Regions from separate parts of the Mus musculus genome. Here regions 2, 3 and 4 are each reported to be linked to region 1. Evidence: microRNA targets listed by miRTarBase, many of them from high-throughput screens and not tested one by one. Region 1 holds a microRNA gene; each other region holds the end of a gene's coding sequence.

What was found. Region 1 holds the annotated microRNA mmu-miR-295-3p (AAAGUGCUACUACUUUUGAGUCU, at 4,117-4,139, opposite strand). A microRNA usually pairs through its seed, bases 2 to 8, with sites in the 3' UTR of a target mRNA and lowers its output. Matches are read on the target gene's strand: a 7mer-m8 pairs with bases 2 to 8, a 7mer-A1 pairs with bases 2 to 7 and ends in A, and an 8mer does both.
Region 2: the mRNA of Hecw1 is a reported target of mmu-miR-295-3p. Seed matches in the 3' UTR shown: 7mer-m8 at 4,835-4,841.
Region 3: the mRNA of Mau2 is a reported target of mmu-miR-295-3p. Seed matches in the 3' UTR shown: 7mer-m8 at 4,116-4,122.
Region 4: the mRNA of Nol10 is a reported target of mmu-miR-295-3p. Seed matches in the 3' UTR shown: 7mer-m8 at 4,654-4,660.

Annotation. Positions count from the first base shown.
Region 1 is chr7:3,217,708-3,224,953 of GRCm38, reverse strand. It overlaps Mir295 (microRNA 295), which reads right to left and starts at 4,181; the gene lies at 4,113-4,181. Nlrp12 (NLR family, pyrin domain containing 12) reads left to right here. Exons shown (of 10, transcript NM_001033431.1): 10 at 2,394-3,444. The coding sequence ends at 2,481. It overlaps D7Ertd143e (DNA segment, Chr 7, ERATO Doi 143, expressed), which reads right to left and starts at 6,170. Exons shown (of 1, transcript NR_028425.1): 1 at 3,939-6,170. It overlaps Mir291b (microRNA 291b), which reads right to left and starts at 5,472; the gene lies at 5,394-5,472. It also overlaps Mir293, Mir294, Mir290a, Mir290b, Mir291a and Mir292, and 1 more gene.
Region 2 is chr13:14,225,002-14,232,992 of GRCm38, reverse strand. Hecw1 (HECT, C2 and WW domain containing E3 ubiquitin protein ligase 1) reads left to right here. Exons shown (of 29, transcript NM_001081348.3): 29 at 2,233-6,555. The coding sequence ends at 2,344. Among named protein-coding and RNA genes, the nearest start is that of Gm26129, 140 kb to the right of the region's middle.
Region 3 is chr8:70,013,451-70,021,441 of GRCm38, reverse strand. It overlaps Mau2 (MAU2 sister chromatid cohesion factor), which reads left to right. Exons shown (of 19, transcript NM_001376946.1): 17 at 932-1,022; 18 at 1,568-1,695; 19 at 1,782-6,915. The coding sequence ends at 1,856. Among named protein-coding and RNA genes, the nearest start is that of Mau2, 25 kb to the left of the region's middle.
Region 4 is chr12:17,426,267-17,434,257 of GRCm38, reverse strand. It overlaps Nol10 (nucleolar protein 10), which reads right to left. Exons shown (of 21, transcript NM_001008421.1): 21 at 4,163-5,143. The coding sequence ends at 5,024. Among named protein-coding and RNA genes, the nearest start is that of Gm36752, 6.3 kb to the left of the region's middle.

The DNA of each region.
Region 1 (7,246 bases):
GAGAGAGAGAGAGAGAGAGAGAGAGAGCTCTCAGCATGCTCAGCAGTTAAAAGCACTTGCTGGGCTAGTGAGATGGCTCAGCGGTTAAGAGCACTGACTGCTCTCCCGAAGGTCCTGAGTTCAAATCCCAGAAACCACGTGGTGGCTCACAACCATCTGTAATGAAATCTGACACCCTCTCTCTTCTAGTGCATCTAAAGACAGCTACAGTGTACTAATGAATTATAAATAAATCTTAAAAAAAAAAAAAAAAAAGAGGCACTTGCTGCTCTTCCGAGGACCTGGGTTCAATTCTCAGCACTCATGTCAGGGGGTTTACACCCACCTGCAGTTCTAGCTCCTAGGGCTCCAATTCCCTTTTTAAGTCTTCATAGGCATGGCCCTACCTCATACCCAGACAGACTTACACATAAGTAAATAATAAAAATAAAACTGCATAGACAAATGTGGAGCTATTTTATTCATGGGACTGGGTATAAGACCAGTACATCCTGCCTTAGCCTGGAATTCAGTGCAATATGCATTACTTCTTTTTTCCTATTTTTATTTTTCTAATTTTTTTAATTTTTTTATTTTATTTTTTATTTTTGTTTTTTCAAGACAGGGTTTCTCTGTGTAGTCCTGGCTGTCCTGGAACTCTCTATATAAAAATTTTTAAAGATTTATTTATTTTATGTATATGAGTACACTGTAGCTGTGCAGATGGTTGTGAGCCATCATGTCGTATGCTGGGAATTGAATTCAGGACCTCTACTCACTCCAGCCCCAACAGTGTAGCTGTCTTCAGACACACCATAAGAGAGCGTCAGATCTCATTACAGGTGGTTTTGAGCCACCATGTGGTTGCTGGGATTTGAACTCAAGACCTTCCGCAAAGCAGTCAGTGCTCTTAACCAGCTGAGCCATCTCTCACAGCCCGTATTTTTTCCTTTTTTTTTTTTTTTTTCGAGACAGGGTTTCTCTGTGTAGCCCTGGCTGTCCTGGAACTCACTCTGCAGACCAGGCTGGCCTCGAACTCAGAAATCCACCTGCCTCTGCCTCCCCGGTGCTGGGATTAAAGGCATGGGCCACCATGCCCAGGGAAAGATTTATTTTTATTATGAGTTCACTGTCACTGTCTTCAGACACCCCAGATGAGGGCATCAGATCCCATTACAGATGGTTGTGAGCCACCGTGTAGTTGGGAATTGAACTCAGGACCTCTGGAAGAGCAGTGCTTTTAACTCCTAAGCCATCTCTCCATCCTCTTCCTGTTCTTTCAGATGAGATCAAGTCTCAGCTGGAATCTGAAAGTTCTGAGTCTGTTACACACTTGATATGTTTTCCACACTAGGGTAGCTGCAGCTATAAATGAAGAGTGCAAGTAAGACTCTCTTAAGGCTCTTATTAAAGACTGAAGACACTTCAAACTGGGAATAAGGAGCTGAGCGTGGCTGGGAACCCAGCACTCCAGGCCAGCCAAGGCTGCTAAGAAACCCCGTCTCAAACAGGCAAACAAAAAATTGGGAGTGAGGGGCACTGTGCTTAAGTGCATTGGTTCTTGCAGAGGACCCTGCTCCCAGAACCCACTTAGTGGCTCACAACCACTTATAACTACAGATCCTAGGGATCCAATAACATCCTCTGACTTCCATTGGCACTGCATATAGGAGGATCAGGCATACATGTATGCAGAATACTGATATGAATAAAACAAAGGGCTGGTTAGAGGGCTCAGCAGGTGAAGCGTCTACCTTGATTACCTGAGTTCAGTCCTCATGACCCATGAGTAGGAGAGAACACATACAGAAAACTCATCTCTGTCTCGCTGACACATCATGGCATACAGTCAACAAAGAAAACCTAGGAGTATGGATCCCAGCTTCAGAGGAGGGTCCCAAGTTCAAGGACAGCCTGGGCAACTTAGTGAGATCCTATCTTAAAAGATGAGCTAGGAAGATGGCTCAGCAGGAAAGCACTCAAGTGTACACATGTACTAACCCTACAAGTATTTTAAAAATTTGCATTTGTTATGTTCCGGAATCCCAGGGCATGTACTTGTAAAGTCTGAGGCCAAGTTTGAGGTGAGTGCTCCATGAGCTGTCTCAACTACCATGCACTTAAGATTATGTTAATTATTCATATATATACATATATATATACACATATATATATACATATATATACATACACACATATATATATATGCATGCGGGAACCACAGGCAAGAAGGGGATGTCCTATCCCTGGGAGCTGGATTTAAACGGGTTGAATGGTTGTATGTAGACTGACCTGTGCAAGAGCAGAAGCATACGATCAAGCCTCAGTAAATATTTAAAAAGGAGTAGGGAGACTCCCTTTTCACCAGGCTAAAATGCAGCATACTGTACTGATAGTCCCATGTTTGTCCCCAGGCTGTTTGGGATGGACCTGAATAAAAAGACTCACAGGAGGATGGCAGCACTTCGAGTCACAAAACCGTACCTGGATATTGGGTGTTGAGCAGTAAGGAGAACCAGAATGAAGCCGACCAGGATATTTATTCCCTCTGCTTTGAAGCACTTGAGGTGGAACTTTTAAAGGCCAGCCTCTGGTATATGGTGAGGTGGAGACAAGATCACTCAAGGTCATCCTGTTACATGGGACCGTCTTAGGTCAGGAGGCCCAGTAAGTGCAGGTTGACAAAATTGTTCTGCTTGAGACCTAAACACTCAACCTTTGATGGAGCTCACTGGGTTTGATGTAGATTCCACGCAGATAATTTAGGACGGGGATTGGCTGGTTAGCAGGTTTGAAGATCAGTAAAGACCACAGAAAAGGAAAAATATCCAGAGTCCTAGACATTTCCATGGACCAAGACTGCCATCTACTGGCCAAGTCACAGCATAAAGACCCACAAGGTAATTTTTCAAAAATTGTACTCAAGGGCTGGAGTGGTTAAGTCAGAGGTCCTGAGTTCAATTCCCAGCAACTACATGGTGGCTTGCAATCATCTGTAATGGGATCCAATGCCTTCTTTGGGTGAATCTGAAGATAGCTACAGAACACTTATAAATCTTTAAAAAGAAAAATTGTACTCACACCTGAATTTTATACAGCAGGGGGAAAAAAAAGTGGGCTGGGGCTAAAGGTATAAGGCACCTTACAAATGAGGCCTCAAAACCCAAGATTTGCACACCTGGTATAGTTGACAGCCAATGCTCCCATCCTATCCTGGGTTATTAGATTTTGCCCAGCTGTGGTGGTGTTCGCATTGAATCTCAACACTCCAGAAAACTGAGCAAGGTGGCCAAGGATGCAGAAATCATGGCTGTGCATGACTCACGACCTGACACTAGTGAGGCCTGGCAGACATCATTCCCAGCAACCACGTGGTAGCTCCACCACTTATAATGGGATAACTCCGCCCACTTCCAGTACAGTACCCAGAGATCTACCTTTATTATATTAAATTCAAACGCTATCCAGAAGTCCCCTATATCCTCCCCCACACCCTGCTCCCCAACCCACTACTTTTTAAAACCTGGCACCACCCCATTTCAGGTTAGCTTGTAACCATCCAGACACTCCACTAAAAGGAACTGGCCATGATGTATAGAAATGGAAAAGACTCACAGTATATAAACAAATGTGGGCTTAAATGTGGCTATGCTTAAAGGCACCTTTAAGCTAGTACAGGGTAATTCTTCCTTAAAACCATTGGAGGGGTGGCATGCCTAAATCCCAAGAGGCAAACAGGGGTGTCTCCCAAAAGGTGCCCTATTACTGTTGAAAACACTTCCAGCTATGTGTTGGTTTAACTTTTGGGGATTTTTTCAGACAGGGTTTTTCTGTATAGCCCAGGATTACCTTTAGTCTCAACCCCAGTGATTAAAAGGGTGCTTGCATGCTTGCAAGCTTTTTTTATCCCTAGGAACCATGGCGGGTGTTTTAAAACAAAAACTGAGAAAGCAGCAAAATCAAGAGAACAAGACTTTATTATTCATGTTTGGAGGCTGAGGGCACTGGTTGCTCCCATAGCACCTTGGTTCATTCAATAGCACCCACATGTCCCAGTTCCAGGAAACCTTCATCTGGATTCAGATACACACTACACATGCATGAAAGCAGCCGACCTGTGAATGGTGCCCACAGGAGAGACTCAAAAGTAGTAGCACTTTCTATGTACAGTCCAGAAGTGTGCCCCACATTTGAGTCTCACCAAGATGAGCAAGCAAGGAGTCTCTGGTTGATTGAAGTTCCGATGCTTTCTCCACATGGCAACACACAAAAGGGAAGCACTTTCCACTTAAAAGCTTAGATAGGGCCTCCATTTTGAGTATGGCTATATGGAATTTCGCTAGATCCAAACATGCCTACAACTGAACTGAAGATTAAGGATTATTCAATGCCAAAAGGATAAATGCAGCTATATGTAATACAGTACCTGTCAAATCTGGGTCACTTCCCGTGAGGTTCCGTGCACCTCAGCTTTTACTTTTGCCCCATTACAGACTGAATCATACCCACAGATGACACCCAAATGATGCAACACTTAGGCCAACTGCAGTTTCTCAATCGGCAACACTACAAACTCTGCGGCACTTCTTACAAAGAACAAAATGTCACACAGTTTGAGTACCACAGATTGAAGCATTTCCACAGGGACCTGCTGTGGTAATAAACCTGAAACTTTATAGTCAGTTCTTAGCCAGACCAGCCAGCCAGGCAGGTTGAAGGCAAGTAAGTACCCCAGGCTAGGCAGGATTACATTCAACTCAACTGGAACACCTGAAAAACAAAGAGAATCCATGAAGATTATGCTTAGGGCACACAATGTAACACCTGTAATCCCAGCCCTCATGAGCCTGGGCTATTGTAAAGCCAAAAGGTATTATGGGTATTATCTACCCGGCTGTCCACCAAGCTTGTTTGTGCTAGGAGCCAGGTTAAAGTCAGCTACAGCCAGCAGGTCCTAAAAATTCAATCCAACCATATCAAGACTCACAACCATCAGTCCAACTACAGTAGTCAAGCAAGATATAGCAACTACAGTAGTCAAGCAAGATATATAGGATCTTTTAATCCCAGGTGGATGGAGCTGAGGCCAGGCTGGTCTACAAGTGAGTTAGCTCCAGGACAGCCAGGGCTACAGAGAAACCCTGTTTGGAGAAAAAGGAAAAAAATTGAAAGAGGACTTAATATGGCGGCCACGTGAGATTTAAAAGTAGGCCTTTCTTTACTCAGACCTGAGGCTTAGACTCACCACCCCTGGACCTGGAGTGCCTCCTTCCACCCTGCCCTGCTTCCTCCTCACCTCCAGCCTTGCAGCTCGAGTAGCCAGTGGCAACGAATTCACCTCCAGCACACATACCTGTTTCAAGCAGGTAAGCGATTCCAGGTTGCAGCTGCAGCCGGCTTTTCAGACGCCATGTACACACAGAGACAAACAAAATGGATGCACTTTCCCGCCAAGCCGCGGAGAGGGCCTCCACTTTGATCGACACTGTATGTTCCAACTTCCAAGACCTGAGGCTCAGCTCCTCCGAGCGAGGCCCATGTGGGATCCCGGCTCCTTTATGAACGCGGAAAGCCTTTAGTACCGCATGCGCCCAAGTGTTCGGACTCAAACCCACATGTGACACCCACCTGCCCAGAAATGCAACCCCAGTGAAAACATGACCCACTAAAACTTAATTCTTAGTTCTTAGCCGTTTTGAGTTCTCAACCGGTGACACTCAAAACCTGGCGGCACTTTTCTTCCGATGAAAATCCAAAAGAGCCCCCAGTTTGAGTATCACAGGCTGGAGGTCAAGCTTAAGAACAATCTACAATGCACCTGGACTCACGACTGCCTTACATCCATCCGCGTCTCGTGGCACCCAACTGAACCGCCCTCTTTAGGATAGGACCCATTAAACTCCAAGCCTAAACCCCCACACAGGTTGTCCGCTCCTGTAAACCGATGCGTCAGATGCAAAGCTATGATGTTTTCCCCATGCAGTGGCACACAAAGTGGAAGCACTTTCTCATTCAGGCTCAAGAGAGGGCCTCCACTTTGATGGCCGCTACATAGGTGTAACAGCTCCAAGCAGCGACAGGACGCACATGGAGCCCCCAGGTACCCTACAACGACCACCTCAGTTACCGTCTACTGGGCAGGATGCCCATCCCTAGCCTTTCGCTATACTCAGTCTCATTCCTTTCTTCGAATCCGTACTCACCACGCTGCAGTTAACCCGGAACACGTGGCACCAGGGCTGGTAAATGTGCCAGATAGCCGTTTTCTCAACCGGCGGGGCTTAAAACTAGGCGGCACTTTTTAAAGAAAAAAAAAAGTGCCCCCATAGTTTGAGTACCGCAAGATGAGGCGGTCCAGACGTTAAAACATTTACCAGGAGGAAAGAACGTGGAGAACTTAAAATTCACTCCAACCTGAAGGAAACCTGGATGAAATCAAGGAAGAGTTAGTACATCGGTCTAACTCAAGGTATAGTGAAACTCAAAATTTCTACAATGAAACCACGTAGTTAATGAAATGTACTGCATAGACTCCCTAGACCTGCCCTCAGTAACTCCTAGCTTTGGTTTCTGGTCCCCAAACTTCACTCGCGCCCAGACTACTCACTTTCCCCACATAGGCTCGTTCCTCCCTTGAAATTATGTAGACCAAGTCAGAAAAAAAAGCCCAACTCTTTTTCCACACACATTAGTTCTAAATGTCTTCTTTGGAGACCAGACCAACCTCAGATGGGCCTGCCTCTGCCTCGGGATTAGTAAACCCAGCCAAACCGTGGGGGCGAGCGAGGAAGGCTGAGTTCGCGGCTAGCCTGCCTTTTAAAAAAGGGGCTCTAGTTTTTAAAAAGTAGAATGAAGATGGCCGTGATGACCTTTAATCTGGAGGCAGAGAGGCAGGCAGAAATGAGAGTTAAAGGCCAGCCTGGCTAGTCATCTCCAAAGTTGAAGCAGGAAGATCTCTCTTCTGGAAATCCTGGATCTACTTTCGCCTCTCTAAACCAGGTAGATTAAAACCACAGAACTGAAGGAAATAAAAAATCTGAAACTAAAAATATTACCTTTGCCTATGTGAGAAGCAGCACGCCGGAGGTATCCCTGAAGACCGCAGAGACCAGCATTCCCGATGTGGAGTAGAAGTCTCTGAGAGGCGTGGGGGAGGCTCTAGGTTCTTATATAGTCTGAAGGCTCATTGGCCCCCTGGACTGGGAGGCTCTGATACCCCTCCCCCACCCCGGAGAATCCTTACTCTACCACCCTGCTTCCTCTGAGC
Region 2 (7,991 bases), not on the chromosome of region 1:
GAGAGAAATTCTAGGCTGGGTGAGCAGTATGATATAGTTCTGAATGGAGCAAACACCAGCATATGCTCAGAAAGAAGTACAGTCAACAGAGGACAAAATGTCCTGAGAAATGTTCACGGATGAGATGGTAGCTGTTGACTATTTGGGAACTTGAATCGCCTCTGAGAATTCCAGGATGTCTCTAGGTAAAGTAATTGAGGTAGGAAGACCCACCCTAAATATATGCAGCATAATTCCATGGGTTGGGATCTTGGATTAAATAAAGAGAAGACAGTGAGCTGAGTGTGTTTATCTCTCCTGCTTCTTGTCATATGGTTATCCACCTCCTTACTACATCATGTCTCCCTTACCAGGATAGATTGTACCTCCATACTGAGTCAAGATAAACTGCCCCTTCCTCATTCCTTTTGTCAGATGTTTTGTCACAGCAACAGGAAATAAATTAATATATAGAGAGGATGTGAAGAGAGAGATACTTTGGTACCTTTCACCAAGAAATGAGCCTTCTGTAGAGTTTCTGCTTTATCCTTTAGGAAATGTCATTGCTTTTGTTACTAAAGAGACAGATTAAATGCAATGTACATATTTTCTCTAAATATATATTAATACTGTTAGCTCTTACTGTACTGCCTAATTATGTCAGCCACAATCCAATGGATTTTCTACTTTCTGCCTTTCTAAACACCAAGAAAATCATTATAATCATTGTCCTGCTCAATTCTTTGACTTTTTATTTAAAAATATTTTATAATAACTAAAATACTTCAGTTATATTTTTTGAAGTGATCTAGGTCTTCCTGATACTTAAGTAATTACAGAGCTCCGCTAATGTCTATTTGTTTTCATGTTTTTTCCCCAAATCAAGTCCTTCAAGCCTACAGTAAGATATTCTACTGTCTTGGGCAGGCACTTGGGGCTTGAAGAGGAAGAAGACAGGCAGGAAAGTGTGGTGTAGTGTGAACACGAGGATAAGGAGGGAGCTGTTGCCAAAAGCAAGATTGAATGCTGGATAGACAAACACCAACACCTTCTCCAGATTCTCCCCCAGCAGAAAACCCCATGTTCCTCCTTCTTTAATCCCTTTTCCTTTATCTCCCAAAGAAGCGGCACTATCCTGAATCCTGAGCCCACACACTCTAATTTCTGACACTCTATTCTAATACTCTAATTTGTCAGATCAAAGGTATAGGTTATAAACTCCCCAAAGGATCTCGCAATTCAAGCACCAACATCCTAAATAAAATTCTGAGTGTTTAGTTGTAGCCTATGGAGTGTTGTTGTTGTTCTGATTTTTTTTTGTTTTGTTTTAGCTTAGTGTCTTTTTCTGTGCTGGTTGATGTATAAACACAACTTCAACATACTGCTCACCCAACCTGGGAGGAAAAGGTATAAAATTAGCTTCCAGCTGTGCCAATACACTCTTTTTCCTGCTTTGTCAAAAGACCAGAATCAAGTTTCCATAGAAACAAAGAGTTCCTGGCAGGAAACAGATACCATGGAAAAATCTGTGTGGTTATACCTCCTCTGCTCGCCGCTGAATTATCCAGTGTTTCCTATACCTTGTATTATCCATGTAAGAAGAAAGACATAGCTAGTCTAGGACAGATTCTGGCAAGTATGAGCCACCAGAATGAAACCATTCTGAGCAAGGCTACATGGATGACAATGATGTGAAGACTCTCCCAGGCTTGCGGAAGGAGTGTCCCACATGCTCAGTGGTCCTTGGGTGTAGGCCATGTAAGCTTCAGTTGATGTGTGTTGCACTGGTATAGAGGAGTTAAACTTGTTTCCACAACACACCTGGCATGGACAACTGGATCTCAGGATAACAGAGTACCAGTAGCTCTTCCAAGTAGATACTTGTGGTTTAACAAGGCCTAGAACTCATGAGGGAAGTAAGGATGTCTTGGAATGATCCATTAGCACTAATAAAGTCTCCACCTCCTTCATATTATTTAAATTTCAAATTAGGCTAATAGCATAGACTTGACTGTTGGTTCTCTACTGTGCTTGTAGTATAGTGTAGTTTTATTTACAAATAACAATTAACTGTTTCTAGGTCTTCAATTTCCTAAACTTGTTGTATCTCAACAGCCATGCTTTGCCATTTGCAGTCTTTTTTGATTGACCAAAATCATTGTCTGGCTTACTTTTGATTTCCTCTTTTAAGTAATCAGTGTAACCAAAAGCAGTCCTTAAAATACCCTCACCAGTATTTTCTCCCCAACTCAGGGCACATACGTGCTTCAACCGATTGGATCTCCCACCATACCCTTCATATTCCATGTTGTATGAAAAGCTGTTAACAGCAGTAGAAGAAACCAGCACCTTTGGACTTGAGTGAAGACGTGGAGCCTTGCCTGGCATTGTCCTGAACAGTGACACCACCCTCTCTGGGATGACTTACTCCCTCCTTTGACTTTGGTATTCCATGATTTTTATTTCAAAGCAAATTAGAATTGGCAAAAGCTGTGCATGAAGAATTGCCTTCTTCTAAGATCTAATCTTCAGGCTTATCTCCTCTGTTTCCAATGAACTGCTAGCCTGTATGCAATACTACAAAACAGCTGTCTCAAGGTCTGTGTATACTTCCACATACCTCCATTCCTAACAATGAAATATGAGTGCAAGTTATGCTACACTTGACGAAATGGTAATAAATGTTTACTTCCATTTCTATCATTTAAAGATAATTTGAGCTGTAAGCATTCCATGCTTTTAAATGCCCATGTCTTCCAAACAGAACCTCCATTTTTCCTAATTTCTAGCAACTATTTCCAGACCTGGGAGCTGACTAATTTTTTCCTTTCTATCTCTACATTTCCTATTCATTCTATCCAAATGGACAGCCAAGGCCACACAGAAACGTTTTCTTCATTCAACTCATGATTCATAGTGGTATCAGCCCCATCAGCCAGAACTAACCTAGACATATGGTGCAAATATGAAACTTCCAGCAATTAACAACAGCAAGAAGGAAAAGGTTATCAGTAAATCCAAGGGTTATATGGACTATGAAATCAACTTGAGTTCAGAAAAGTGAGGTGGGGGATCTGCCCTGGTGAACCCTCACCACCCAAGAAGCACAAACTTGTGTACCATGTTCAAGGAGCAAATCCTAATTGCTGTAGATTGAAGGATGAGCCTTTACCTCTAATTTTGTCACCATAAAAAGTGATAAGGCAAACAGGAAAAAGGACAGGACATATGACATTTATTCCAATCGATGAATTTTGTTTAATCTATTCTCACGCACACATAGTCCAAATAAATCTCATGGCTTTTGTTGCAGCCAAGTTTATTTACGTGATAGGCCAAACTTTTGCTTCTTTTTAGCTTTGATACTTTTCTCATTCTTTTTTTTTTCCTTTCCTTTCCTTTTTTTAAATCATGGTGTTCAAATTCTGTCACATCTGATGTTCACAGACACCACATACAAAGCTGCAGAGCACGATGGTGCTTGTTAAGGATCACGGGCAATATAAACTTTTCCTTCATCCTTAGTGATTCTTCAAAGGCACGCTGACTTGTGTCCACAAAAAAAAAATCCATTTTTTTAAAGCATTCAGCAAAATATTTAAGAAAATGTGTTTTTAGAAAAACAATCACAGGCTCCACAGACAGCCTGGCATCTTAAGTACATTTGAGATAAATTTAACCATAATGGTCATTTGCTATTTTTTGTAACCATGTTATCCATGTTGTCTGAAATACGACATAAATGAAAGTGGTTTTTCTTCACTGGGAAAAAAAAAAGCTAAAGAGACCCAACTATTTAAATATTCATTGTTGTAGTCAACATATTAAAATAAAAGAACAAGTCTGAGAATGTAAAGCTAACTTAGGATGAAGCCATGCCTCGTGGCTCAGTACAGCAGTGTGTTTTGTTCCTGCACATTAAAATATTTTCTTAGTAAAAATTATTCACAATGCCAAGACACTCTGTGTTCCTGTGTTTCTTTGTTAAGCAAGAAGTATATATGATACAAACTTAGTTTTCTATTGCTATCAAAAATAAGTTTTACTAAAAAATGGGATGTACATTGTATGAAACACAGCTTGAGGGGTAAGATTTGGCCCATATTTCAGAATCTGAAAAATAAGTCCAATGGCGCTGTTATTTACTAATGAACTCGGAACAAAAGCACTGCTAAAGTCATTTTCACTAAATCTTTAACTCCTAGAATAGCATATTTAGAATTCATCTTATACATACATAAAAACCTCACAAAAAAATTCAACCATTCAAGTTTTTTACCACTGACTTGCCATACATTGAAAAGGAGAATGTTGTTCAAATGTAGGAAGCTGCTCCTGAAGAGCTTTACAATTTGCAGAAATGAGACAATCTATTAAATAGATTAATATATAGTCTACCAACATACAGAAGGAAGAAATTTTCTTAGAAATGACATGTGAATAAGAAACTCAGATAAATGCATTTTTAAATTAATTTTTAGTTATACCTCTACCCTTATGCAAGGTTCTACACAAATCCCAAGAGCAATAGCATTTCTAACATACTCGTTTTAATTATTTGAAGTTATTGCGATGTATTTCAATCATATTCACCTAACACTCTTCTCCCTAACTCCTTGTTCATTCACTCCCCAATATTCCATTCCTTCTCAGTGTCATGTCATTTTTTAATGACCCATTGAGTCCAATTTGTGCTGTTTGTCCATATCTTAAATTAGTATGAGGTCATCCCCTGGAAGATATAAATGTATCATTTTGTGTGTGTGTGTGTGTGTGTACATACACATATACATATTTGATTGTCATAGCCGGCCGCAGTGGTGCACCTTTATGGCATTAAAATGCCTTTAATCCCAGCACTTGGAAGGCAGAGGCAGGCAGCGCTCTGTGAGTTCAATGCCAATCTGGTCAACAGAGCAAATTCCAGATCATCCAGAGTTACCTAGTAAGACTCTAAAAAAAAAAAAAAAAAAGACAAAAGGAAAGAAAGAAAACTGACTCTTAGCAGCTATCGGCTGTCAATAGCTCCTCAGATAGGGCTGGGGACTTGTGAACCCCTCTTTATATACTAATAGTATTCTAGAAAAATTAAAAATGTCATTTATACTGACACCAAAGTTGCTGAGAGAATGTAAAGCTTGCTTTGCAGAGCCCAACACGTGACTTCAGCCTTTCATGGAAGAAGGGAAAACAAAGGGGAGAGGAGCTCAAAAGCCAGTCATGGATAGACACGTCCCACTTCATCCATGAGAACATTGAAATTATGTCTAATTCATTATATATGCATATGGACATATAACTATATATGTTTATATGTATATGTGTATACATTTACATGTAAGGAAAATGCTGTAGAAATAGTTTTTTATTGATTTCAATGGTTGGAGATAAATCACCTCAAATCATATAATTCTTTGGGTAACACAGATTTTTTTTTTGTGACCATATGTTATTCTTTGAATTTTTTTCTCCATAAAGTTAATTAGAAATTTATTACCTGTAAGTCATAACCTCCCTAAAACAAGATTTTTTTATATCTAGTTTTATGAGTATAATACAATACCTTTTGGGAGAAGACAAAAATATTTAAAAGATTTAAAAAAGTATGTTATAATTTGAAAAAGACAATAAGGTGTTATAATTTTATAGATAATACAAACATATTATTCAATAACATGAAGATGACAATCTTCCCAATAGAAACTGAGTCATCAAGATCAGAAGTACTCTAGAATACTGAGTTCTCTGTGACATCCCGTGTATATGAGTTCGAGAACACCCTGATGGTTTACTACCATCATTATTATAGCACAAACACTTCAGGAAAGGTAATGAAAATATTCAAATGCTTAATGAGATTTTGGCAAGCTTTCATTATGAAAGATTTAAATGCTTTTCCTGTTAATAATGAAGCTATATCATTCAACAGTAAGAATATTTGTATGGCAAGCCAGTGAGCTGAGTTTCCCACAAAATGTCTAACAATATTCAGTTTCATCAATAGTTCATGTATCAAGCCACATGTCTGAAATTTGGGTTCAGAAAATTTCTTAAGTTGCCACAAATGTTTTCCCAGTCAAGATGAAACACTTTCAAATGAAAGTAGTTAGAACTTTACATAACAAAATGTGGTGCTTTATTATTATTGTTGTCGTCGTTGTTATGATTATTATTATTATTACAATTATGTCTAACAGTGTTCATCACTAAAACTGCAATACTGTATCATAAATGTGCAGGATGACTATTCCAGCCATCACAAGGTCCAAAAGAGAAAGTGTTATTTTCCTGTTAATGACATGTAGTCCCTTTGTTCTAGTAGCTAAAAGGTGCCTAGAGGTAGTATATAGAGTAAATATTGTTCCGTTAGTCTATTTCCTGCAGCTTCCATTATCTAAGGAAATGTCCATAAGATTTTGTTTACAAGTCTTTGTTCTAGTCAATAACAGGAGACGTCATATTACTGGGCTGATTTTGCTTACATCTACAAAAGAAATGTTATGTGATACTCAGGCCTCGCTTTCTCTTACATCATACATCTTCAAGGAATGTCAATAAACTCACTTTGGTATGGCACTGAGTATGCTCCTTCTTGCAAAGAGAAGTCTATAGTAACAAACAAAATTCTAGATCAAGCCTGTGCTCCTGCTGACTGGTGTAAGGAATAAAACAACAAAAAAGGATCCCAGCTTCCCCAGCAAACAAACCTCAGAGGAAAATCAATATTGTTATGTTCAGAAACCCATGAGGAAAGGAGCTGATTTTGAAACCATGTACATTCCTTGTTTATGCATATTAGACCTCCATACAAACCATATGTGCCTCATTTCCTAAGTGTCCTTTATGTAGAGCAAGAAGACATTGATTTGTATGAAATCCTATCTGTTAAGAATTTCTATGAAAACTTCAGACATGGCCCTTGGAGGATTACCACTGAGTACAAATCACAAACACACCCCTAACCTCCCACACAAATCTCTCTCTCTCTCTTTCTCTCTCTCTCTCTCTCTCACACTCACACACACACCCACACACACACACCACCTGCAGCAGGTGGGTGAGCTGGCCTACAGGGCAGGAGAACAAGAGAACTGGCTCTGCCCCTCAGGAGCTGCAGCACTTGGGAGAGCAGGTTTTGCACCTTGCCTGGGCAGCACAATAGAGCTGGCCCTGGTGTTGAGGGTGATGGTGAGCCAGTCCTAAAGAGCATGATCATATGAGAGCTGTCCCTACCACATATCTGCCCTGAAGTGGCATGAGCATGAGAGATCTACTATCCCACACACACACACACACACACACACACACACACACACACAGTGCAATGAGGTGAGCTGGTCTGAGGTTAGGAAATCAGGGGAATTGGCCCCACTCCTCACCAGCTGCAGAGCCTAGCAGAATGGGCCCTGGTTGCATGTGTGTATGAGAACCATCCCTAGGCAAAGGACCCTGGTGATGTGGTTACAGGAGAGCTGGTGGTCTGACAAACTCAGCTTCTACCCAGGCCCAGATCCAGGTCCATCCCAACATCTCCAGGGCTTTATGTTGGCCCACCCCAACATCTACACTCATATATACTGCTAGAGGATATAAAGTACCTAGTCCTTTATACATGGATCTCTGTGACACAGGACAAAAACAGAATATCCAAGAGGAGTCCCAGTAAGGATCCAGAAATGATGGTATAGCAGAAGTCAGAGGACTTGACCCAGACCAATGACTCATTACAATGGACATTTGCAAATAAAGGTGGTTAGGCAAGAGGGTATAGTGTGTGACACACCATGACACACTGTAGCTTCTACAGTGAGACATTTTTGGTTTTTGTTTTTAGTTTTTGTTTTTGTTTGGGTTTTTTGTTGTTTTCTTTTGCGGGGGGGGGGGGTTGCAAGGATCTCTTCTTCCCTCTCCCCCATGAAAAGGACATTTTCAAAAACCCTTTTCATTGATTCTTTGTGAATTTCACACCATGCACCTCAATCCCACTCATCTTCCCATCTCAACAAAAGAAT
Region 3 (7,991 bases), not on the chromosome of region 1:
AGGTTAAGGCCTGAATAACCCAACTGAGCTGCATTTGGTTAGGTTGTTTTCCATTAACCTGTACCTAGAACTGAAATCTGGTTTGAGGCTTTTAAATTTTTGTTATTCGTTCAATATTTGTTATTTGGGTATTTCCCAATTTACTTATTTTATGTGTGAATGTTTTACCTGAATGTATGCATATGTACCATGTGTGGGCCTGGTGTCCACAGAGGTCAAAAGCAGGGGTCAGATTCCCTGGTTCAGGAATTAGACAATTGTGAGCTGCCATGTGGGTACTAAAAACTGAACCTGAGGACTCTGCAAGGACAGTGAGTGCTCTCAACCTCTGTCACAGAAAGTACCCAGACCCACAGGCTGGGGAGGTAGAGCAGGTCAGCTGAGCATGGTTTGCACTTCAGAACTCCCTTGGGTTTCTCAGTGTGAGGTCAGAAACAGGAAGCTGCTCTCCAGGACTCCCCTAGCCTCATCGTGAGAACGCTGGGCACCTAGGTCAGCAGCTCAGCACACACAGAATCTAAACTTACTAAGAGGGAGTCACAGGTCTAAAGACCCCACATCCCCACAGTAGCCTACAAAAGCCAGCTCAAAGGAGCAAATCCTCCACACGCAGTCCATGCCCTTAGACAGGTTGCTACTTCAGGAGCCTTGGGACATTGCATGAATGTATAGTTTTAATCATTCTAGTTGTTGGACCAGAGCTGTCTTTTTCTCTACCTGGCAAGAGGCATGTATGGCCCATTCATTGCCTCACGTGCAGAGGAAGGCAAGAGTGCTCAGTTTGTTTTTCCCAAGGTGGACAAGAGTACTTTAGAGGACCAGTTTAGGTAGTCTCTGAGGGTGCAATAAGAGTCTGTCCAGGAGCAGCAGAACATAAAATGGGAGATGGAGTCTGTGGCCTCACTGTTAATTCTTAGCTTTTGATTGGCAGGAGAGTAACAACATGGTGGTACCTGCCATGCAGCTGGCCAGCAAGATCCCAGACATGTCTGTGCAGCTGTGGTCATCTGCCCTCCTGAGAGGTGAGAGTGAACAAAGCTGCCAGGCATGCTTGTAGGGCCCTGACATCATACAAGCAGCGGTGTATCTCCAGGGTTTTTTTTTATTTTTGTTTGTTTATTTATTGGAAACAGGGTCTAGCTGGCCCGGAACTCTGGGTAGACAAGGCTGGTCTTTTTTTTTTGGTTTTTCGAGACAGGGTTTCCCTGAATAGCTTTGGCTGTCCTGGACCTCACTCTGTAGACCAGGCTGGCCTCGAACTCAGAAATCTGCCTGCCTCTGCCTCCCAAGTGCTGGGATTAAAGGCATGTGCCACCACTGCCTGGCAACAAGGCTGATCTTGAAGTCACAAATTTACATTCCTTTGTCTGCCAAGTCACCACAGCTTGCTTTCAAGGGGATTTTTAAGAACTCTGGCAGGTGGAGACTGGGTTCCTGCTCAGGGCTTTGTGGATGATCCTCCTGCATCTCAAGATGGGTTTGGATGTCTGAGGGTAACTCTGTCTCCCCTGGGTTGGTATGAGTTTGGCCACCCAGGGATGAACAGTGACACCTGCCCCATCCTCAGACCTAAACAAGGCATGTGGGAACGCCATGGATGCCCATGAAGCCGCACAGATGCACCAGAACTTCTCACAGCAGCTGCTGCAGGACCACATCGAGGCCTGTAGCCTCCCAGAGCACAACCTCATTACGGTATAAAGGGTGGGGAAACAGACATAGGGATACGGGCTCTGGATCTTCAGCTGGGAGGGGTTTACTCATGTGTGTTCTCCCCACAGTGGACAGATGGCCCACCCCCTGTGCAGTTCCAAGCTCAGAATGGACCCAACACCAGCCTGGCCAGCCTTCTGTGAGGCCTGTGTCCGCAACTTGGACCCAACACTGGAGCTCTCTGGGAACAAAACCACCAGGGTGCCCACCAGTCCCTCACCATTGTCCAGAGCTAAGTCCTAAGAGTGCTGAAGCCATCATCTGCCTCTGAGGGTGACAGCCAATTGCACCTGTTCCAGGACTCAGTGCCATCTATTGAAGGGACTGATGGCCTAATCTGTGTCTGGGTGTCACCTGAGAAGAACAGGGTGACAATGTGTGTAGGGGCATCATCTGAGTGCTCAACCGAACCTAAGTGCAGCTGCACAAAGTGGCCTCCAACCCAGGGCAAGCTGAGGGGAGAGTAATGGCTCTCACTTTCCTCGGTCTGCTGTTCTTCCAGTGTCCCTGCACTCAGGGACTTCTGAGGACCTGGAAGTCAGACTCTTAATCTGAGTGGTCCTCCAAGGTGACCCAGTGCAGGGGAGGAGTTTGGGAAGAGGTGTACATACGCAGTTGATGAGGCTGAGACTTCGTGTGCCCTTAAGAAGCTCCTTGCTCATATTCAGCAGCACGTCTTGGCCCAGCCTAAGCATCAGGCAGAAGTCCCATTGGACCTGAATGAGAGGGTTCCTTCCTGGCAGCTATTTAGCTTTCCCATGGAGGACAGTTATGGGACCAGCTCAGCTCCTCTTGGCTTGATAGCTGCCCTAAGGGTGACAATAATGGGGGGGTACGGGGCACAGTGGTTCCTGCCAGCTCATGGTATCTAGGCAGGTGCTCACCAAGCAATGTGAAGACCACTTCTCAGAGCTTTGGAAGCCATGACTGAAGGGACGAAGCTCCAAGACCTTCATGGACATCCTTTCTGAGCCATGTGGCAGAGACTGCCCATGGCCAGGTGCTCCCAACCCTTCTGTCTTCCTCTAGCCCTTGGGTCCCAGGGACCTACCCTCAATACCTGCATCACAGCCCTGCTTATTTATTTAAGCTTTTTTTTTTTTTTTTTGCTTCTAGGGCATTTTGTACATACAGCAATTCAAACAAGGACCTCTCGACTTGCCATCTGTCCTGATGTTAGAGTGCTTTTAGTGTCCATATCTCAGGCATGTGAAAACTAAGCACAGGGTCACGACAAACTCCATAGTCTATGTTGAGTTTCCACCTACATGACCCCACCACAGTGTCCAACAGCTAAAGATTGAGGGGAAATCCCAGATGGGCTAGCACAAAGAGGTATTATAACCCAGGAGTTACTAAGAGCCAGCCCTGAGCCAGGCTAACTGTAGCCCTATATGAGCCCTTAAGCCACAGGTGACACTCTGAGTGAAGGAAGGCATGTCATCTATTGAGAGGGTTGGTTTGTTTTCATAAACATGGGTGGCTTTGCCTGGTTTTAGCAGCCTTTTAATCGGGAACTGTAAGCTGAGATCTGTGAGAAGTCTGTTTGCTGGTCTCTCCCTTTAGGACCACTATTCCCCCAGTCTTTTCATTTCCCTCCCTCCAGCCTTGCCAGCAGCCCCTCTACTATAGACTGAAGCCCTGAGGCAGAGGCATAGCCCCTTCATCAACTCAGCCTGGTAGGAAGCTGGTCCACAGCCCCTTTTTCTGTTTGATTTTAGCTGGATATTGATTGCTTGTTTGTTGTTTTTTGCTTCTTTTGAAGACACTGGTGCCACGCCTCAGCCTCCAAGCACCTGGCTCTTAGATTTTGGCTGTGGGGTTTTGATTGGAAGGGGCAGTGTTTAGAGCTTTTGTTTCTTAAGATAGTATCTCTTGTTCATGGATGACCTTGAGCTCTTGATTCTCCTGCCTCCACCACCCTAGTCCTGGGATGATGGGCATGTGCCATAGTGCTGGCTTTACCTGGTGCTGCTAGCCTAGCATTCTGCCAGCTGAGCCATAGCTTTATCCTGTGATCCTATCTTGATGCAATATTTGGTTTGGACCTTCTGTGAAGGGTGTTATACCCTGCAGTTTCAGCATACAAGCCCCTAGACACGCTTGCTCCTGTACCCAGGTGCAACGCAGAAACCAGCTGGACATGGTGGCTCACACCTGTCACACCTGGAAGGCTAAGAACACTCCCAAGTTACATGCCAGTAAGGGTTACACAGTGAAATATGAATAACCCAGTAAAGGAGAGCCTGGTCCAGCCCTTGTGCTCCTGGGTAGGGAAGGCTCTTTGCTTTTCCATGGGTTAGTTGACTCTTGACTGCAGGTGAAATCCATATAAAATTAGACAGGTTTAAAAAAAAAACAAAACAAAAAAGCCGGGCGTGGTGGCGCACGCCTTTAATCCCAGCACTTGGGAGGCAGAGGCAGGTGAATTTCTGAGTTCAAGGCCAGCCTGGTCTACAGAGTGAGTTCCAGGACAGCCAGGGCTATACAGAGAAACCCTGTCTCAAAAAACAAAAAAAAAAATAATTAGACAGGTTTTACTGATAGGTGGTTGACTTAAATTTGACAGACTTTAACTGTCTATCCCTGGCTGATCTTGTATTGTAGCTGCTGTTCCCCAAATCTCACCCAAGGTTATATAGTGTGAGCTACCACTGTAGGATTAGACTGGGTTTGTTTGTTTGTTTTGCTTTTTGTGGCTTGGTTTCTGGATCTCCACTGGCTTACATAGGAAATTCTTACATTTCAACCCCAAGTTTCTGAGACCGTAGGTAGCACTCCACCATGCCATCTCTTCAGCCACTTGTTTGTAGTTTTGTACTTTGTTGGGGGTGGAACCAAGCTCTTGTGCACAGCAAACACACCTCTCAAACTGAACTATACTGCAGGTGTTCCTAAATTCAAGACCCCAGTGCTCAAGACTCAAGGGAGGAGCATCCACTGCCTTCGGTATGCCATTGTGTGCCTAAGCACTGACCTTTCCGAAAGGATTCAGAGTCCAGCTATGTGTCTCATCCCCCACACCTGGGCATCTCTGCCTTCCAGAGTCTGCTTAAGCTAGATTTCAGGTAGAGTCCACTCCTTCCTTTGTCAACTTGAAGGCTCTATCGTCAGAACAAGCCTGGTCCTACCTCACCAACCCTGGATGGTGGGGTTTGGAGCAAGTGAGGTAGATGAGTCCTGGGGCTTTGCTGGTTGTTACCTCCTATGACAGCAGGTGTCCCATCTGGAAAGTTGAGTCTGTCGTCAGCCTGTGCTAAGCTGGCTGGGCACACAAAGCTTCTCATGAGAGTGGTCTACCATCCCAAATAGCAAAAACGCCCCACAGCCAGGCAAGGTGGCATGTATCTGTGATCCCAGCAATGAAGAGGTAAAGATCAGGAGTTAAGGGTCATCCTCATGCTAGCCTGGGCTACAGGACCTTGTTTTTGAAAAAATAAAACAGGAGCTGGAGAAATGGGTCAGCAGTTTATAGAGGCCCAAGTTCAGTTCCCAGCACCCTTGTCAGGCAGCTAACAGCCCATCTGTAACTCCAGCTCTGGGGGTCTGACAACCCTCTTCTGGCATCTACACATACCTGAACACTTAGAGCATTTACAAATAATTAAAAAGAAAAAAAAATGTCAGGTAGGAGTTGGCAAGATGGTTCAGAGGGTAAAAAGAAAAGCCAGTCATGATGTTTTAGGTTTGTAATTCCAGCAATTGACATGGAGACAGGTGGTCTCTGAGGCTCACTGGCCAGTTAGCCTAAGCAAAGTAAATGGTACCTAAAAGAACACATAAGGTTCCCCTCTGGCCCTGACATGCTTTTGTACACATGAACATGCACAAAAAACCTGAGTGTCAACCAGCTCTAAAGATTTTTGATCTTCAAGATGAATCCATTGAACCTAGGTGTTTAAATAGTGTATCAGAAGTGTAAACTAAGGCCATAACTGCTCCAAAGTATGGTTGAAGGGAAGGTTTTTGTTGTAGATAATAAGGGAGAGTGCAGCCAGAGGCATCTGGAAGAGTCCAGAACAGGGAGAAAGAGAAGTAGATGGGACATGGCCAGCAGACTGGCTTTGTCCATGAGATGAGTGGGTCGAGGAAGAGGAGATGATCAAGAGAGGAAGACCAAAGATGACCAAGCACACAAATACTCAAAAGTGACAGGTTTATAAGGGACTAAGATGCTAGGGAGGGAAGCCCATGTGCAAGAGAAGGGTAGGGGTGGGTGGGAGAGACATGGGCAATTAGAACCCAGGAAACCTGAAGCACAGAACTCACTAAGAAGCAGCACAGATTTGTCCTCACTTTCTTTTGGGTCTGGCAGGCAGAGTGCCATTTGGCTTTAATCCCTACACTCAAAGGCAGGCAGAACAGTGATTTGGAGGCTAGCCTGGTCTACATAGTTGCAGGTGAGTCAGAAACCCTATTCCCTAAAACAACAACAACAAAAGAGGGGGCAGGGGTCTGTTCTGAATGTCACCCAAGGCTAGGTTCCCCACTGTGGTGAAGTGCACTCTGGCCATCCTCCTCTGGGTGTTCTCCCATGAGGCCTGGGATATTCTACATTGGCCACCAGAGGGTCAGAACAAACCCAGGAGTCCAGGACAGCTAGGCATGTCCCTACTAAATAGAGACACTGGAGGCCTCATCCTGGAGTCCGAGTAGCCAGACTGAAGGGTTAGAAAGGCACAGAATTGAAGTGTTTAAACTGATCCACTTGTAACTCCAGTACCCATGGAGCCAATGTTCTGGTGTCTATGGGTATGCTTGTGGTACACAGACATACATGTGAATAAAACATACATACATGCACACATACATACACTTTTTCGAAGCAGTGTGAAGTTTCTTTGGGAAGCAAGTTGTGTCTGATGGTATGTTCTGGGTCAGACATGTGAAGGAGTGTTTTCCTGAAGGGGACACAGGTGAAAGGATGTTTTGCTAAAGCAAATATGAAAGGACGCATGGAGGTAGGGAGCCAACAGACCATGGACTATGCTGGATGGTATCAGTACACTTTGCTATTCCTTAAACATCGTTTGTTGTGACTTCATAACCAAGAATATTCTGGTGATGTTCTGGTGGCTTCTGTTTCCTCAGACTTGAGCTGATTGATGTCAGCTGGTACAGACTCCTATGGAGTTTTGCTGAGGTACCAACCATGGGAGAGCACAAGATGTTTGGAGAGAGAATAAAAATGACTCAACTGGACAGTGACTGGAGTTCGGGAGGTGGGGCTTGCATAGCTAGCTTTGCAACACTTTGTTGGTCTCATGCTTCTTTGATCTTAACTTTGTTGAGAGGCACAGCAGAGAACCTTTGGTATCCCTGCTGTTCCTGGTCACTCTTACTGACTCCTGCCAGTTCAGCTGAGGACTGGCTATTTCTGCTAGGCTGTGCCACCACTGCTGATTCATGTTTGCAATCTTGATTCTACTGAACTGGACTGCTGGTATGTATCCTGACAAGCAGAAGGGATTTGCTCCAAAGAACTATTTCTAAACAGGTCCACTTCCCTGATATCCTAATAACCTTTCCTTTCTACTACCTCTGGTGGGCTAGAAGGAAGGTTAAAGCATTTAAGAACCCTTATTAAAAGTAGGTTTTGAAAAAACTAAGCCTACACAGTGTTCTGTGTGGTCTGGCTGTCCTGAAACCAGACTGGCCTGGAACTCAGAAATCCACCTGCTTTTGCCTCTTCAGCCATGGGATTAAAGGTATATGGCAACAAGTTTAAAAAGAAAAAGGAAATCTTGAAGGACATGGAAATCTTGAAGGACATGCGAAGGGAAAGGAACCTGTTACTCTGGAATCTGATTGAACCCTTTTCCTAGTAGACAAGCAAGAATTCCAGTCCAATTACTATGAGCTTACCCCTTCCTTCCTTCCCAGTTACAATCTGGAATTTCCCCAGAATCTCATTTACAGGGAATGGGCATGTATATGTACTGTTTTATACTCCCATTCAACGTTTCTGCAGAGCCACCTCACTATCTCGAGAAGGAGCCTGTAAGAGCTTGGTGGATCAAAGTACTTACAACACCACCCCCCTGAATTCAGTCCCTCTGACCCACAAGGTGCAGGAAGGAGACTGATTCCTGCAATGTGTTACCTGACCTCTGTGCACTGTGTGGCAGGCACACATCAAAATAATAATGAAGCTGGGCGTGGTGGCGCACGCCTTTAATCCCAGCACTCTGGAGGCGGAGGCAGAGGCAGGCAGATTTCTGAGTTCGAGGCCAGCCTGGTCTACAGAGTTCCAGGACAGCCAGGGCTACACAGAGAAA
Region 4 (7,991 bases), not on the chromosome of region 1:
AGGGGGAGGGGGAGGAAGAGGAGCTGGGGAAGGACCTCAGAGCCTAAGTGCAGTGTGAAAGGGAATGGGGGATGGGTGTGTGTGTGTAGGGGGGTGTAGCACTAAGTCCAGAAGGAAAAGTTTCATTAAGAGGCAACCACAGACCAGGCAAGGGAAGCTTGGCAAGACTGGAGGGACACAGTGGAGCTCCAACAGAGGAGCAGAGTGGGGCCCTGAGGAGGAGAGATTCCAACATTCCACCCATTTTGCAGAACTCAAGAAGGGTTAGAGGAAGAGAAAGCTGCCCCCGGGTCAACCAGGTGTGTGAGCAGAAACTGGGCAGTGAACTGAGGGAGGCCGGATGGGGAAATCCAACTGGGGAGGTGTTCCGGCCAGCTGGACTCGAAACCCCCTCAACTCCCAAGTCTAGGATGCATCATTCTGGCCTACATCTAAAAGAAACTCAAGGTTACTTCAAGTACATAGCTGGACTCCTTCCCACCTGTCAGCTTTGAAGTCCTATTGGGTTGGGCTGGGAGCAAGGATCATCAAAGGATGAGAACTTCCTCTTCCATCTGATGTGTGTGTGTTGGGGCATCTCACTAGTCAGGAAGCCCAGGAGCACAGCAGGCCTCCACCTTCCTGCAACTCCCATTCCAGGCTGCCAAGCCTCTATGGAAGCCCACTCACTGGACACTGCTGGACACTTTCTCAACTGAGGTTCTCTCTGAAAATGACCCTAGTGGTGTTTAGTTGACTGCAAAGTATGCGGCACGCCATCCATTTACAGACACAGATCAGGAACCAACTTCTCTAATGCCATGTTTTCTTCTTTACAAAAAGTTTTTACTAAAACATTTACTTGAGTTGTGTGCACACGTGGAAGCACACACACACAGACAGACACACACACACACACACACACTCAAATACATCTTACGGGAGTCAATTCTTTCTCCCATGTGGATTTCAGAGCCTGAACCCAGGTCATCAGGCTTGTTAGCAAGCACCTTCACCTATTGAGACATCTCACCAGCCAGTCCCTCACCCACACACTGACCCTTCTCTCATGCCCTCTTGACCACATAAGTTCCATTTCTGTTTCCTTATGTTAAACTTTCCCCTAAAGGTTATTTATTTATAACGTATATTTTCAACTTCCTTTTCCCTGTCCCTCTGTCAACCTTTGCAATTTCATCTTTTTGCATCTCATCTCTGAAAGCTCAGGTGGGAATCACTTCTTAGGCATAAAGGTTAAAGTCTGACATTAAGTAGAAAGTTGAACTGATAAGTGGATATTAGCCCAGAAACTTAGGATACCCACGATATAAGTTACAATTTGCAAAACACATGAAACTCAAGAAGAACGAAGACCAAAGTGTGGACACTTTGCCCCTTTTTAGAATTGGGAACAAAACACCCATGGAAGGAGTTACAGAGACAAAGTTTGGAGCTGAGACAAAAGGATGGACCATCTAGAGACTGCCATATCTGGGGACCCATCCCATAATCAGCCTCCAAAAGCCGACACCATTGCATACACTAGCAAGATTGTGCTGCTAGGACCCTGATATAGCTGTCTCTTGTGAGGCTATGCTGGTGCCTGGCAAACACCTAAGTGGATGCTCACAGTCAGCTATTGGACGGATCACAGGGCCCCCAATGGAGGAGCTAGAGAAAGCACCCAAGGAGCTAAAGAGATCTGCAACCCTATAGGTGGAACAACATTATGAACGAACCAGTTCCCCAGAGCTCGTGTCTCTAGCTGCATATGTATCAAAAGATGGCCTAGTTGGCCATCACTGGAAAGAGAGGCCCATTGGACTTGCAAACTTTCTATGCCCCAGTACAGGGGAACGCCAGGGCCAAAAAGTGGGAGTGGGTGGGTAGGGGGGTGGGGGGAGGGTATGGGGGACTTTTGGGATAGCATTGGAAATGTAAATGAGGAAAATACCTAATTAAAAAAAAAGTAGAAAGTTGAATGTTCAATTCCATCCCACTCAGTCATTTGTGACAGGGCAGGAGAACACAGCGTTCCTCTAGCTTGTCTTCTTGCTGAGGCCACTTTAGGTTTAACTAGAATTTGCTCTCCTCCATGGAGAATCCTGTGGGAAATAATTACCAACTCTAAGAGGTCAAGATGCTCCAGCTAATTTACCTTGGCTTCTGTTATACTGCTTGCTTGTACAGCTCTTTCCCTGCAGCTGCCAAGTGAGATACCAGGATGTGGTTTTGCCTTAAAAACCCCTTATGCTAAAAGCTTGGTGCTGTACTGGGCCTCAAAGACCTGAGTGCAGTCACCATTGGCAGCTATGGACTACGTCTGAGTGGTTTTCTCTGGTGGGCACCCCATAACGGCTTAAATAAACATTGCATGATGTGGTAGGCATTGTTCGAGAGATTAAGATACACAGCTACAAACAAAACATACTGATTAAAACATTCCCCCTAGTCCTTATTGAGTTGGCATTCTGGAAACAGGAGCTGACACTGGACAAGCTAGCTGAGAACTCACCGTGAGCACGTTGCACACTGCTGGGGCATGCTGGTCTACTCGACTGTTCCCCATCCATTCTTGTGTGTACCCGACACTTTCCATAGTAAGGTTCTAAATTTATGCTATACTTATTTGTGTGTGTGCACATGTGTGTGCATGAGTATATGAGCATGGATACTCATGTATAGGTCAGATATGATTTACTGTATTTGGTTTTCTTCTTCCACTCAAGAAGACTCTGTGGTCCCCGTGGTGACGTTTTGAAAGCATATTAAATGGAGTACCATTTGTAAACACATGCTGACACTGGGATGTGACAATGTAAATGGGGCAGAATTGACCAGACAGGAGAGAAAGTAACTTGAGAGGCCTGGGGGAGCGTGGGGAGCTGAGGGAATGCCCGGAATGTTCTAGAAAGAGGAAGGTCAGTGTGGTGACAGCAAACAAAGGAGTCTGTGCCAGGCAGGGTCCTTCAGGGACTCAGGATGTTACTGGATGAGAAGAGAACCAGGGGAGGATTCTGAGGAAAGGATCTGAACTCAATCTTCTTCCCAGAAGCCCTTCTAAGTCCCGCACCCCTGGGCCTGTATTTTCTGCTGTCTGCCCTGTGTTAATCCTGCCCCTCCCAGCATGTCTGCTTCCTTCAAAGGTTACTGATGAAAATACTTGAAACAGAAGATTTAGGCATTGGGATTGGGATACTAAAGCTTTGAGAGGGATCTGGAGCAGAAGAGCACACATCACTCAGGAACCCCAGTCCTCCAGGGCCTGGTGCCCAGCTTTGGTGCTACACTTCTCACACTAGCTCCTAAGTCTCACCGGGAAGGACAGCTGCTGGCAGGACTGGACAAAGCCACATCCTAGTGCTGGTAACGAGCAATCACAGGTTAGGGTTTGAGCCTGAAATGTCTCCCACAGGCCTCTAACTTAAACATCTGTCCCCAGATAGTAGTTAGGATGTGTGGGGATGTTCTTTGAGGTGAAGGCTAGCTGGCAGAGGTCAACCACAGGTTGCTCAGACAAGCCCTTTAAGGCCCTGTCTGGGTTTCCATTTCCTGGCCTGTAGTGATGTGAACAGCATCTGCACACCCTGACACCCTCTGAAACTAAGAGCCAAGATGAATCCCTTAAGTCCATATTGATTATTTTGGTGATAGGTGTACAAAAGCAACTGATATAAACACAGAAAAATGACAGAGTGGGATACCAGCATGCACAACAATTTTAAAATGGGAAACTTTGAGAAAGGGAAGAGAGGGCACCAGGGGCTCACAGCCCCAGGAGGGATCTGCTTAATAGTTAATAAAGAGGTAGGAGTGTGTGTGCGCGTGGGTACGTGGGTGCGTGCATGCGCATGTGCAGATTCATGTACCAACAGTCAGAAAGTTCTTGAGTACACATCACAGGCTAAAGAGACAAGGGTCCAACAACACTGACTGCTAACTAATGTGTCCTGCCTTGTGGACTCACCATAGGTACAGCCTAACGAGCTCCCATTCTATTTGTTTACATGAGAAACTCCAAAGTATGGAAGCTAAAGTGAATTTTAAATTTCCACAGGCAGGAGTCTTCCTCAGAGAAAATGTCCAAAGAAAAGCATCTCCTTTTATAGGCGCTGCCTGTATCAAATAGTACTTCATCAGAAAATAACTACGTAATTTTGTGATAAGCTAAACAAATAGCCAGTAGCGTTCACTTATTATTTATTAATTTATACCCTTGATATAAAAATAGCTTAAAAACTATACAAAGGAATATAAGCAAGCCAGTCAGCCTGCCAACATACTCATGCACATAAACAGGGCCACTCAGCAGTCATCATGTGACTCAGTCCTGAGGGGCAGAAGACAGTGGGGACAGACACTCTGGCTGGGCCTGGTGGTGCATCCCTTTAACTTCAGCACTCAGGAGGCAGAGGCAAGTGGATCTCTATGAGTTCAAGGCCACAGATTGAATTCCAGGACACCCAGAGCTACACGGAGAAACCCTGACTCAAGTCTCAAATAAACAAATGACAAAAAAACAAAACAAAACAAAACAAAAAACCCCAAACCATTCTTTTTTTTGGGGGGGGGGGGTTCCAGACAGGTTTTCTCTGTGTAGCTCTGGCTGTCCTGGAACTCACTCTGTAGACCAGGCTGGCCTCGAACTCAGAAATCCGCCTGCCTCTGCCTCCCAAGTGCTGGGATCAAAGGCGTGCGCCACCACGGCTGGGCTAACCCAAGCCATTCTTACAGCATGATAATGTCCTGTTTCCAGTAGAGGGTGAACTTTTCACTTCATGGAGGCCTTTCCAATATCTGAAATGATGCCTGATCATCAGCAGGGGAGAAGACAAGATTTAAGGGGGGCGGGGGAGGGGGAGAGAGAAAGGGGCAGCCACTTGGAAAAAGCACCCAGGGCCAGGGACTTCTCCAGGTGGGTAGTGGGCCAGTCAGACCACCAGCACCATGCACACACATCTACACGGAGCCTGGGTGTGATGCCCTTGTGAGAATCCATGGGGAGAAGCACAGCGTCTAGTTGCTCGTGGGCACATTTCTTTGGTCAGTGAAAGGGCCGGCCTCTTCTGGGTCTGGACCTCAGGTGGCTGGCCGACCTGCGCAGATTTTTCCTTTCCTGACGATGCAGTTTTTCAGCCTCCTGTTGCTTCTTTTGCTGTTCAGACTAAAAGAAAGTGAGGTGAGTAGAGGAAAGGGTCTGCTATAACCCTCAGGGAGGAGCAAAGGCTGCCAGACACACAGTCCTGCGACCAACACTGTGCAGCTCAGCATCACGTCCTGGTGGCGGCAGGAGTTGGACAAAGAACAATTTTCACTGTCAAAGGAGAAATTCTGAATCCCTGGGCAAAAAGAACACACACACCGGGAAGTGTCTGTCCACACACCGGGAAGTGTCTGTCCGCACACCGGGAAGTGTCCGCACACCGGGATGCTCTAAGAGGACTCATGCCTACTTCTGCTTGCACACTGAAACTCTGAATTCATTCACAGACTTAAAGACAAACAAAAAATGTTGCATTTTATCAAATGCATATCAAACGTGTTTTTTATCACACACATATTAAAGTGCATTATGACCTACACCTGATTAGATAACTCATTAGGGCTGGCTCCAAAGAGCTTTTGGATGCTAGGGAGGGAGAGAGAAAGAGGGGAGAGGAAGGGAAGGAGGGGAAGAACAGACTTGCTATTATTGACCCCTGGCAGTCTGGCAGGGATGGTCTCCACATGAGTTTTCTATCTTCATTTGCTTGAGAGGTGGCAATGCTCCCAGATCCCACTTTCTTTCCAGTGGCACCCCCACTCTCAGCAGACAATCAGTGCAGAACCTCCTGAATAGAGGAGCTAAGGAGTCTGAAATCCATACCAATACTTGCTGTTGGCACTTGGAGCTTTAGCACACTTGGATAAAATGCAGATAGATATTCACCAGTGTTTCCCTCTTGAAAAAACCATCTGAGTTTAAAGAGAGGGTGTGGGACGATATGGTGAGCCCACAAAGGGCCCATCTCTGCATTCTGGTAGCTTGGGTTCCTATATTACTCCAGGTCCATTTCTGATGACCAATATATCCTGTGCATTTTCAAAATAAACCCTGCCCAGTATGCCCTTCCGATTCAGGTGGCAGCCTCCCTCTGCAATTCCAGGGTCCCTTTCTCACTGGGTGGAGTAGGGGATGGAGATGTAACCACATCTTCCTGGTTCACTCCTATGGTCAACATTACGTCAGGCTGGTGAGGTGGCTCAGTAGGTGAAGGTATCTGCCACCAAGCCTGGTGATCTGAAATTGATCACCTGGGGGGGCCAAATGGTAGAAGAGAGAAATAACTAACTCAAGTTGCCCTCTAACCTCCACATGCATGACATGGCACCCATGCACGGACACACACAAATATATAGAAAATACTGTATGTCAGGCCTCTGCTTCCTAACACACTGCTTAGACTCTTTGCCATGAGCTCACAGGCACTTCCTCCACCAGAGCACTTACTTTGGGCTAATTTGGTAAATGTGTCATTTGCCCTATTTCCTTAGCAGAGAGAATGGGCTGAGCCTCGCAGCCAGTCAGAGCACTGCACTGGTTTCCTGTGTTAACAGGGAGACTCTGGCACCTAGGGACTACACTGCCCTGGAGACTAAACTGCACATCATCAAGACCCTCACAGAGTTAGCACAACTATTTAATTCTGATGAATGAGGCTCTGCGTTTGTTTCAGTGAGAACTTGGGGGGGGGGCAGGGGCAGAAGAGGGGGGAGCATATTCTGCCCTACATATTAATAAGTTCCCCTTAATCCTCCCCACCCTCCACAGTGTCTGCATCGCTAGACTACCTTCACACTCATCATCTTCCTGCTTCAGCCCCAAGAGCAGATTAGGGTTGTGGGTATGCACTACCAGGTCTGGCTTCTAAAATGCATGTCTTGTTTTTTGTTTGTTTTGTTTTTCAAGACAGGGTTTCTCTGTGTAGCCCTGGCTATTCTGGAACTCACTCTGTAGACCAGGCTGGCCTCAAACTCAGAGATCCACCTGTCTCTGCCTCCCAAGTGTTGGGATTAAAGGCGTGTGCCACCACTGCCCAGCTAAAATGCATGTCTTTAGATGTGCTGAATCCAGATAGACAGAATGCTGGGAGCTCTAAGGATTTTTGGAGTGTGGGCCTGTTGTTACAGTATGAAGCAGGACTGTGGGCAGCTCTGGACAGCTTCTCAGCCTTCTCCAGGCCAAGAGCTGCCAGAGGAGCTGGGAAGAGGCCTCTATTGTTCTGTGGACAAAGCTCCCCACACACAAGGTCTATCATTAGCCTCTCTCCCCAAGGCTGCGCTGGGAGACCATGCCACTGTGTCACCCACTCATCAAGATTTACAGGGCAATTAGCTCTTTTCCAAGTCAGCTTTCCTCTTTCTCCTTGTTCCTGTGCAGCTGCAGCCTACAGCCCTCGTGGGGCAGGGGAGAGGACAGACGCTAGCTGTGGAGACATACACACATTCTCCCTGTGAATTCTACTGGCACTGTAGAAAGCACCTACAGACATCCTGGGCAACTCCACGATTTTGCCTCAGTGTATCATATACAATAAACATAGAGCAAAGGGAAACGTCTATAAACAAATACACAAACATGTTTCTAAATATATATTTAACAGTGATATACTAAATAGTTAAGAGCATGCCAATCAAGTAATAAAACTCATAAATCAAGCATTAATTGACATAGCATATTCTCCCAAAGGGTTCTGAAGCCTACAGTTGATTCAGCTCTGATGTCACTTCAAGCAAGTCTCAGGGTATCTCCCCATCTTTTCATTTTACTACAAATTTACAAAATGACATTCAACTTTGTGCATTCTGACTTGAAAGTTCTGTGGCGTGGAAATGACTGCGTCTTCTCACTGCCAGAGCCAGGCCTGTGACCAGCATCCTCCCACTGAGCTATCTCCCCAGCTCTGAGACAAAAGCTTCGAGTGGGACGGTTACAGATCTACTGAACATACTAGAAAGCACTGATTGGCTTG